Sus scrofa: one gene and its partner. The protein of the gene in region 1 interacts with the protein of each later gene in a biochemical or structural test. Links are inferred from orthologs where the notes say so. Each region holds a gene or a part of one and is shown in the gene's direction. Other genes may lie near its edges. The genes, in order: ARFIP2 and ARF5.

Region 1 (4,380 bases):
AGCGTAACATCCAAAAGCTTTTCCTTTCTTCTGTTTTTTTTTTTTTTTTTTTTTTTTTTTTGTCCCCTTAGCCACCACCCTCTACTTCTGTGGTTTTCTCTCCCTTGAGTCTGACTATAGTGCAGAACATGGCTCCCCAAGTTTTCCCCTGACTGCTCCTGAAGACGAGCACACAGACCTCCTCGGTTTAAAGGATTTACTGCTCAATTTCTGGGAGTATTAAGAAAGTAACAACTTGGGGGAGTGGTTAACGTTCTAGAACACCCAGAAGTCCTATAGGTTTCATCTGTCTGGGGCTACTGACTTTCGAAGAGGTAGTGCCTAAAAGCCCTGTGGTTTCTTAATCCATGGTCCTTAATATCTCTAAGCGAACCATTTAAGTCAGACAGATTTAAGGACAGAGTTCCCATTTTCTCTGCCGTCTGGGCACGAACCAGCGTCTTGTTGCCAATTTTAAAGCTGTACCCACAGACCTTCCTTTAACCAGGTGCCTGGGAATGCTGAGGTTTTCCTTCCACACACAGAAGGCAACTTCTCCCTGCCCAGAATATCAACCGCACAGATTACAGCAGGTTTATTAGCTCCAGGAAAAGGAGCAACAGTACCTAGCTCTCAGGCAACTCCTCATTCTCTACATACAGGCTCCATCTTGCCCAAGGTCCACTGCTCCTTCAACGTGAGGGTCCATCCAGTGCCTCCCTTCTCAGCGTTGAGGACAGCTAGCTGCCAGATGGCGAGGCTTCTGGCTGTTCAGCAGCAACACCTGGCACAGCTGAGGCAGCCTCGTAGTCAGCGATGCGGCGCTGTACCAGGGCAGGCATGAGCTGCACGTAAGCGGCCATGAGGCGGTGGTTGGAATGGATCAGCTTCCCGGCACAGCTGTGCAGACAGGCCTCCTGGAAGGAAGACAGGGTGGAAGTAGAAGCCAAAGGTGTCCAGTCAGGTCCGTTTCCCTCCTTCCCATCCCCAGCCTCAGGGCGGAGGTCGTGGGAAGCCAGGGCCGGACGTAGGGGAATTGACGGGAGAGGGAAGCAGTGCACGGTTAGCTCTGAGGCTCGAGGAGCACTTCCCTACTCAGTTCCCCCACCTAACCTCCTCGGCATCCAGAGCTCGGTGATGCAGGCTGGGCACGCAGCGCTGGAAGCAGAGTTCCGTCATCCGATTGTAGACCAACAGGAAGTCCCGCAACTGGGGAGGAAGGGGGACAAGGAACTCAGCGAAGAGGGGGCCACGTCTCAACTCAAGGCCGCGCTGCCGGCGCTTTCCCAGGACCGTGTACCACGGCCCGTGGTTCCCAGCCCTTGGATGCCTGGCTCTCTGGGGTTTCCGCCATGCGAACAGGGATGCTAGCTGGATGCAGGGCCCTTAAGCGACTTAGCTCCCACTCACGTTTCTCAGCTGCTGCTGCTGCTGCTGTTGCTGTTCCATCACGCCGCCGGCGCACAACCTACGTCACTTCCGTTACAGCTTCTAGGGAACGCCCCGGAAGTGACCTCAATGGCTCCCCAGGGGCAGAGGGGTTGGCTCAAGGAGCGCCCGCCCACCTCCCCGCGACGTCACTTCCGCCCTCATAATCGGCTACGTGGCCGGCTTCTTCTGCCCGGGAGAGGACGTCACTTCCGCCGAGTCCCTGACCTGCTGCTAGGATCGCGACGGGAACTGGATCCCGAGATCCCCGCGCGGCCCGGGCCTGGCGCCCTGAGGGGAAGAGCGGCCCGGCCCGAGGTGAGAGGGACGTGCATGGGCGAGGGCAAGGTGAACGCACGAACCTGACCTGAGGGCAAGATGCTTCTGAGCCCTGGGAAAGGATGAGGACACACCTGACGCCCAGGTGTATGGGGGGAGGGCGGAGACTCACACACCTGGGGAGACCTAACTGACTTTGGAAGGGATCACCTCCCTATGTCCTGGGGCAAAGGGACTTTTCCCCGGGGTCGGGAACTTACACCAACTGATTCAACTAAGGCCTGGGGCGGGGGTGGGGGCAGGAAGAGGGGGTGCATGGGATGGAGGAGGGGGAGACCACCTGCAGGAAAGAGGAGGAGACATTAGAGGAGTGTGAAAGGCCAAACAATGGCGAACATACCTGAACGGGGATAGGCACCTGAGCGCTGGGAAAGGGATTGTCTCCTGATGAGGAGGAATACCTGCGTGGGGATAAGCTGCTTGAGAGCACAGGCTTTCTCTCCATTGCCTCAAATAGTGCGTGGCATGTAGTAGGCACTCATTAAATGTCTGTGGAAGGACTGAATGCATGAATGATCCCTGGACTGCTGGGGGGGTGGGGGTGGGGGGGTCATGAGAACATGACCTCTGGTCAGGCACACCTGAGGCCTGGGTGCCTGTGTGTAAAACTTTGCACCTTGGAAGGGAGAAAGACAAAGCCCCGAGGGAAGAGTGGTGGGCAGACCCCACCACACTGAAGCCCCGGGACGGCCTCTGCAAGGGCAGGGGAGACCTTCCTCTTCGGAGAACTGGCCCGTTTCCAGAACTGTCTGTGTTGGGCTTTGCAGGGCGCTGGGGTGGAGACTTTGACTCCAGTCCCTTCGCTCGCCATGACGGACGGGATCCTAGGGAAGGCAGCCACAATGGAGATCCCCATCCACGGGAATGGTGACGCGGGGCAGCTTCCTGAGGATGATGGGCTGGAGCAGGTGCTTCTGTTTGATTCTTCACATTGTTTCAGTTGAGGAATCCCAACTCTTAAACCCTGAGCTCTCTCCTTCTTCCAGTAGCCTTCCCCCAACTCACCTGATTTCCTTCAGTCTTTTTACCAATCTTTGTTCTGATTCTGTGCAGACTTCCCTTGTGTGCTCTCTCTATGATGCTTCAATCCAAGCTTGTTTTCACCCCCAAAATGCTTCAGCTGCCCATATGTTCCTGAAGCCCCCCTCTTCTCTGGCCTATAGGACCTCCAGCAGGTGATGGTGTCAGGACCCAACCTCAATGAAACCAGCATTGTGTCTGGTGGCTATGGGGGCTCTGGTGATGGACTCATCCCCACAGGTATGAATGATCAGAGCAGGATAGGGCATTGAGTGGAGAGGGGAAGAGGACTGGCTCCAGGGGGCATAGGATACGTCTAAGAAGGCGTGAATCATGTCTGGAGCTCGTGGGAACCTCTGCCAGGATGAACCCGCGGGCATCTCAGCCCAAGGCCCGTTCCCAGGGGTGTCCATCTGCCTCCACTTGCCACTTTGTCCCTCAGATATGCCCACTTGTCCCTTCTCTGCCGTCACTACCTGAGTCAGGCAGAGAACTCTGTTCACCAGGCCTCCCCTGCTCTGGAGCTTGAATCTGATTTGGAGCTTTGAGAGGCTTATCAGAGTCTTACGTTAGACTCTGCTATTTAGAGGAACAAGCAGCCCTGAATCTCGCAGTGACTGGGATCCACATGGGAATGTCAGCCAGGTGTTCGGTTCGAGGGGCGCCCAGCCATGGTCAGCGACCCCATTCTCAGCCTAGTCTCCGCTGTTTCCTCTGCCCCTGCACACGAGCAACCCCTCCCACCTCCCTTTCCAGTCCTCACCTCCACGTCAAAAGGAGGCCAGGTGTATGTTGGGATTGGGTCTCAGGGTCCAAGGCATGAATTCCTCCTAGTGAGTCTCCAGCCCTGCTCCTTCCGGGGCGTCATTTTCATGTGCTGGGAGGGAAGTGTGGGTGGAACCACAGAGGCGTCGGATTGTGTCTGAGAGAGGCTGGTGTCAGAGAACTTGGTCCTTTAGGGTCTGGCCGCCATCCATCTCACAGCGCCCCTCCTGCTGGCCCCGGGGATGAGGTGGCCCGGGGCATCGCTGGAGAGAAGTTCGACATCGTCAAGAAATGGGGCATCAACACGTATAAGGTGGGATTCACGCACCTCCTCCGCCCCCTGAGCTCCCCCGGGTACCTCTTCCCCATCTTGCGGATCCTCCTGTCCCATCATCTCGGGCTGAGACTTGGAGTCTGGGGACGCCGGGGTAGACACTTGCTGCGGGGCAGGGCCGGGCGCCAGGGTCTCTGACCTGTTCCCCCACTTCCCACTCAGTGCACAAAGCAGCTGTTATCAGAGCGGTTTGGCCGAGGCTCCCGGACTGTGGACCTGGAGCTAGAGCTGCAAATTGAGCTGCTGCGTGAGACGAAGCGCAAGTATGAGAGTGTCCTGCAGCTGGGCCGGGCCCTGACAGCCCACCTCTACAGCCTGCTGCAGACCCAGCATGCACTGGGGGATGCCTTTGCTGACCTCAGCCAGAAGTCCCCAGAGCTTCAGGTGCCTTGGGCAGGCCAGAGGGGGAGGGGGGCCTGGGCCCGGGGCCCTCCCAGGCAGTCACCCCTCAGCCTCCCTCCTCCCTCCCTCCTGCAGCCCAGAGGGAGAACCCCTCCAGGGTGGGCCCAGCCCCG
Region 2 (4,433 bases), on another chromosome or scaffold:
ATCAAACAAAAATTCAGGTACATTATCTTATCATCTCATTCTTCACTGTAACTTGGGACAGATAGTCTCCTTTTATAGATGAGAAAATGACAGGTTGTGAGTATTGTTGAATTTAAGCCCTCAAAAAAAAAAAATGCAGAACTGAGATTCAAACTGAGGCATGGAACAATGGCACTCAATAAATATTTGTTTAATGAGTGAAGGAAGGAAGGAACGTTCTCTGATTCCCAGCTCACCTCACCATGTCCAGTCCATAGGGATTGATTCTAGAAGCCCAAAGGGAATCCAGAACAGGCAAAAACACCTGTCCATGCTCCACTGAGCAATCAGTTAGTCCATTCAATCCAGCCAGCATTTGTTAAGCATATATTAGGTGACCCAGTCTCCACCATAAAAGAAATTTAAATTAATTCCTATCTTGCTATTTCCCCTCAGATGCTAAGGTGAGTGGGAAAATAGCTCATGAAGCTCTTCAGCCTTACAAAATGCTAGCTAGCTATGCATTAAAGGTGCAGGTTGGAGTTCCCTTCGTGGCTCAACAGAAACGAATCTGACTAGCATCCATGAGGACGCAGGTTGGATCCCTGGCCTCGCTCGGGATCCGACGTTGCTGTGAGCTGTGGTACAGGTCGAAGACAGAGCTCCATCTGGCGTTGCTGTGGCTGTGGCATGGGCCTGCAGCTGTAGCTTTGATTCGACTTCCATGCCGCCGGTGCGGCCCTAAAAAGACCCCCCCCCAAAAAAAATAATAAATCCAGGTTCCGCTTTTCAAACTGAGGAAGGAGCTTCAGAAAGGTTGCCTGGTTCGATTGAAAGGCATTGTTTCCAGGGCCATCGAGGCAAGGCAGAATTCTCCAGTATGCAGGAGTAGTATCTACTACCCCACCGCCTAGAACTGGAGATCCTCCACTGGTTCTGCTGCAGGCGTTTTAAGAAACCATGAAGGGCATCTTCTTTCACCTCTGGCGCATTCCTCTAGAGATTCTAAGGTCACTGAAGCACCTGCCACGTTCAAAGTCCCTGACTGGGAACTGAGAAGACAAAAGGAAGGACTAAGACACCTGCGCGGAACTGCCGCTTCGGGGCGTGGGGGGGGGGGGGTTGGGAGAGGGAGGGTGCACAAAGTCGAGGCACTCATTACCAAGAGCTAAATCGGAGCCTAGAGTGGATTGGACGGACCAAACCAAAGCCCAGCGGTCAGCCAGTGAGGATGGGGATGGAGGGCCGTTATGGAGCTTTGGAGGCTTTCCTTGATCCTGCCCGGGTTGCGGATTCAGCAGCCACAGATCTTACAGGCACGCCAGAAACAGGGGGAAGGCCCAGACCTTTTCCATCTCTAAAGCCAGCGCCGAACCAGAGGCTCGCAAGACGGTCAGCTTCAGGGTCTCCCAGGGCCAGGGCCTGGAGGCGGGGCGGGGGCGGGGCTGAGGGCTGTGTTGGGGGCGGGGCCATGGCGGGGGCGGGCCCGAGGTGACGTAGGGCGGGCCGGGACGCGCGGAGGCGGCGGCGGCACCTCCTCCTCCTGCTGCTGCGCCCATCCCCCAGCGGCCGGCCAGTTCCAGCCCGCACCCCGCGTCCGTCCCCGCGCCCCCTCCCCCAGGCCCCGCCATGGGCCTCACGGTGTCCGCGCTCTTTTCGCGGATCTTCGGGAAGAAGCAGATGCGGATCCTCATGGGTGAGGCAGATAAAGCGCTCGGCCTGGACGGGGAGCGCCGGCCCCCACGCAGCTCTCCTGCCCCCGCGTCCCTCCAGCCCTGCTCACCCGGGTCTCTGACCCCGAGTCACCCCCGGCCTAACTCCCCGGGACCACTACTCTCGGGTGGGTCGGGATCTGCAGCAGCGCTCCTGGGGCCTGGGACCGGGAGCTGCGGGCCTGGGTGGAGTGAAGCTCCCTCCTCCGCCCCAGCCCGGCTGGTAAGAAGGGAGGATTCCGTCCTTGGAGACGACTTTTAAAAGGAGCACGACCCTCCTCTGGCACCTCTTACCCCTCAGTCTTCTACCGCCCCTCGCGCGCTCTGAGGGCTGGACTTGGCGCCCACCCCCCAGACTGCGCTCAAGGCCGCGAAGGTAGAGAACAGCGCGCACCTGGAGGTGCTCGGCTCTCCGCCCCCGTCACCATCAGCTGTCCTGGCCCGTCCCCTTCCCTGGGCTCTAGGGGGCTCCCTTGCTCCCATCTCCATCCCGGTGCCCTTCTCCTTTGCAGTTGGCTTGGATGCAGCTGGCAAGACCACAATCCTGTACAAACTGAAGTTGGGGGAGATTGTCACCACCATCCCCACCATAGGTGAGTCCGGAGGCGCGGTGGGGAGGAGCGGGAGCGCGGCGGGAGGGCCTCCTCAGGATCTGCTCCGCATTCTGCCGAGGCCCTTATCTCGGCCCCAGAGAGCTGACCGTGACATCAGATGCTGCTACCTGAGAAGTGGGTCACGGTATCTTTTCATGCAGGATGGTGCCCAGGCGGGATGGATGTGACCGAGCCCCGCCCCTCGGTGCCTTCTGGCTTGGGGTCCCTGCTGAAACCACATCGTTTTGGTGAGTTCCTCCCTTTCAGGACTTTTTCCTCATATTTTTTTCCAATTATCTGCAGGCTTCAATGTGGAAACAGTGGAATACAAGAACATCTGTTTCACAGTCTGGGACGTGGGAGGCCAGGACAAGATTCGGCCTCTGTGGCGGCACTACTTCCAGAACACTCAGGTTGGGGCTCCCCCAACCCCAGTGGAAGAGGTGTTAGGGGTAGGAAGATGGAGGTGTTGGCCTAGGCCAAAAAAAACCTCTTACCCCCTTCTACCCCCTTGTGTAGACTAGCCTCTCCTTATTCTTCAGAAATGGCCTCAGTCTCTTGAGAAGCAGAATTCTGAATCCAGGCTGCCTCACTCCGCTCCCATCCCATGTCTTTCCTTGTCCCGGTGCACATCATTCAGCCGGTCCCCTTGGCTGAGGGCAGAGGCCGTATCCTAGCAGAGTGTCTCCAGTTTGTGCTAGGACGTCTCCAGAGCCACTGTGTAAGTTTACTAGATGAGAAGGGTTTAGACACCATTAAAGATGGACATGGAGGAGTTCCCTTCATAGCTCAGTGGTTAACGAACCCGACTAGCATCCATGAGGTTGCACCTAGCATCCATGAGGTTGCGGGTTCCATCCCTGGCCTCACTCTGTGGGTTAAGGAGCCGGCGTTTCTGTGAGCTGTGGTGTAGGTCGCAGGTGCGGCTCAGATCCCAGGTTGCTGTGGCTGCGGCGTAGGCTAGAAACTGCAGCTCTGATTTGCCCCCTAGGCTGGGAACCTCCATATGCCACAGGTGCGGCCCTAAAAAGTTAAAAGCAGGGTCAGAGGGCAGAAGAGAGGAGGAGCCAGACTAGGGTGTGGATGTCCCAGGCGTGAGTGATTGCTCCTCTTTCCTTTCTTCTTCCCACCCAGGGCCTCATCTTCGTGGTGGACAGTAATGACCGAGAGCGGGTCCAGGAATCTGCCGATGAACTCCAGAAGATGGTGAGCACTCAGAGCGCCCACATTTCTGTGCCGGTGTGACAGATAGAAATGCCTCACGGGCCTTGAATGTGGGTTCCGCTTTGTGGACACACTCCCAAGAAGTAGTGCCTCCCCACTTTGAATTGGGCCCGGGTAAAAAGTGTGAGACTTGACTTTTTCCTGGAATTCTCTCATGTCTTCCCTTCTGAGTCTGAGAAGCCGGTAGAGGGAGGGGAATTGTAGGTGGTGGAGAGAAGCATCATCTTACGTTCTTGTTTTTTTCCCTGTGGATGACTTTGACATTTTTAACTGGAAGGGTACTCTCAAAAAAGGCCTTTTCTGGATCTAAGGCCAAGCTGATTTATAATTTGTGTCCTGTGTTCAGCCATAGATGACACAATGTTCTGTTTTCCCTGCAAATAGACTAGAAGATAGAAAGCAGGATTCCCATATGCAGCTGGGAAAAGGGAGCCTGGGGGCCCCCAGAGACCCCCCTCAGATGCCATCGCCTCTGCCTTCTCTCAGTTGCAGGAAGACGAGCTGCGCGATGCGGTGCTGCTGGTGTTTGCCAACAAGCAGGACATGCCCAACGCCATGCCCGTGAGCGAGCTGACCGACAAGCTGGGGCTGCAGCACTTGCGCAGCCGCACGGTGAGGACCTGCGTCTGCTCGGGGGAGCCCCAGGCTGGGCAGGAAGGAAAGGCATCGCCTTTCTTCCCTGCTTCTGACCTGTTTCTTTCCTTCTCCCCACAGTGGTACGTCCAGGCCACCTGTGCCACACAAGGCACAGGCTTGTACGATGGGCTGGACTGGCTGTCCCATGAGCTGTCGAAGCGCTAGCCAACCACAGGCCAGCCCCTGCTGCCCGGAAGCTCCCGCGTGCACCCCGGGACGACCAGACTCCCGGACTCCTCAGGCAGTGCCCTTCCCTCCCAGCTCCTCCTCCCCCGCAGACACAGGCCTC

What was found.
Region 2: the proteins of ARFIP2 (region 1) and ARF5 form a complex in vitro, tested with the Homo sapiens proteins (2 studies listed by BioGRID). The link is inferred for Sus scrofa from reciprocal best matches to the Homo sapiens genes ARFIP2 and ARF5.

Annotation. Positions count from the first base shown.
Region 1 is NC_010451.4:3,248,441-3,252,820, forward strand, and holds the start of ARFIP2 (arfaptin-2), read left to right. Parts: upstream 1-1,570; 5' UTR 1,571-1,725; intron 1,726-2,513; 5' UTR 2,514-2,555; coding exon 2,556-2,654; intron 2,655-2,909; coding exon 2,910-3,006; intron 3,007-3,725; coding exon 3,726-3,844; intron 3,845-4,027; coding exon 4,028-4,249; intron 4,250-4,380. Other genes in the region: TIMM10B (mitochondrial import inner membrane translocase subunit Tim10 B), read right to left, coding at 720-896, 1,093-1,188, 1,390-1,428. UniProt on the Homo sapiens protein: Plays a role in constitutive metalloproteinase (MMP) secretion from the trans Golgi network. May have important functions during vesicle biogenesis at certain cargo subdomains, which could be predominantly utilized by secreted MMPs, such as MMP7 and MMP2.
Region 2 is NC_010460.4:20,695,755-20,700,187, reverse strand, and holds the start of ARF5 (ADP-ribosylation factor 5), read left to right. Parts: upstream 1-1,552; 5' UTR 1,553-1,608; coding exon 1,609-1,675; intron 1,676-2,203; coding exon 2,204-2,284; intron 2,285-2,587; coding exon 2,588-2,697; intron 2,698-3,418; coding exon 3,419-3,490; intron 3,491-3,994; coding exon 3,995-4,120; intron 4,121-4,222; coding exon 4,223-4,309; 3' UTR 4,310-4,433.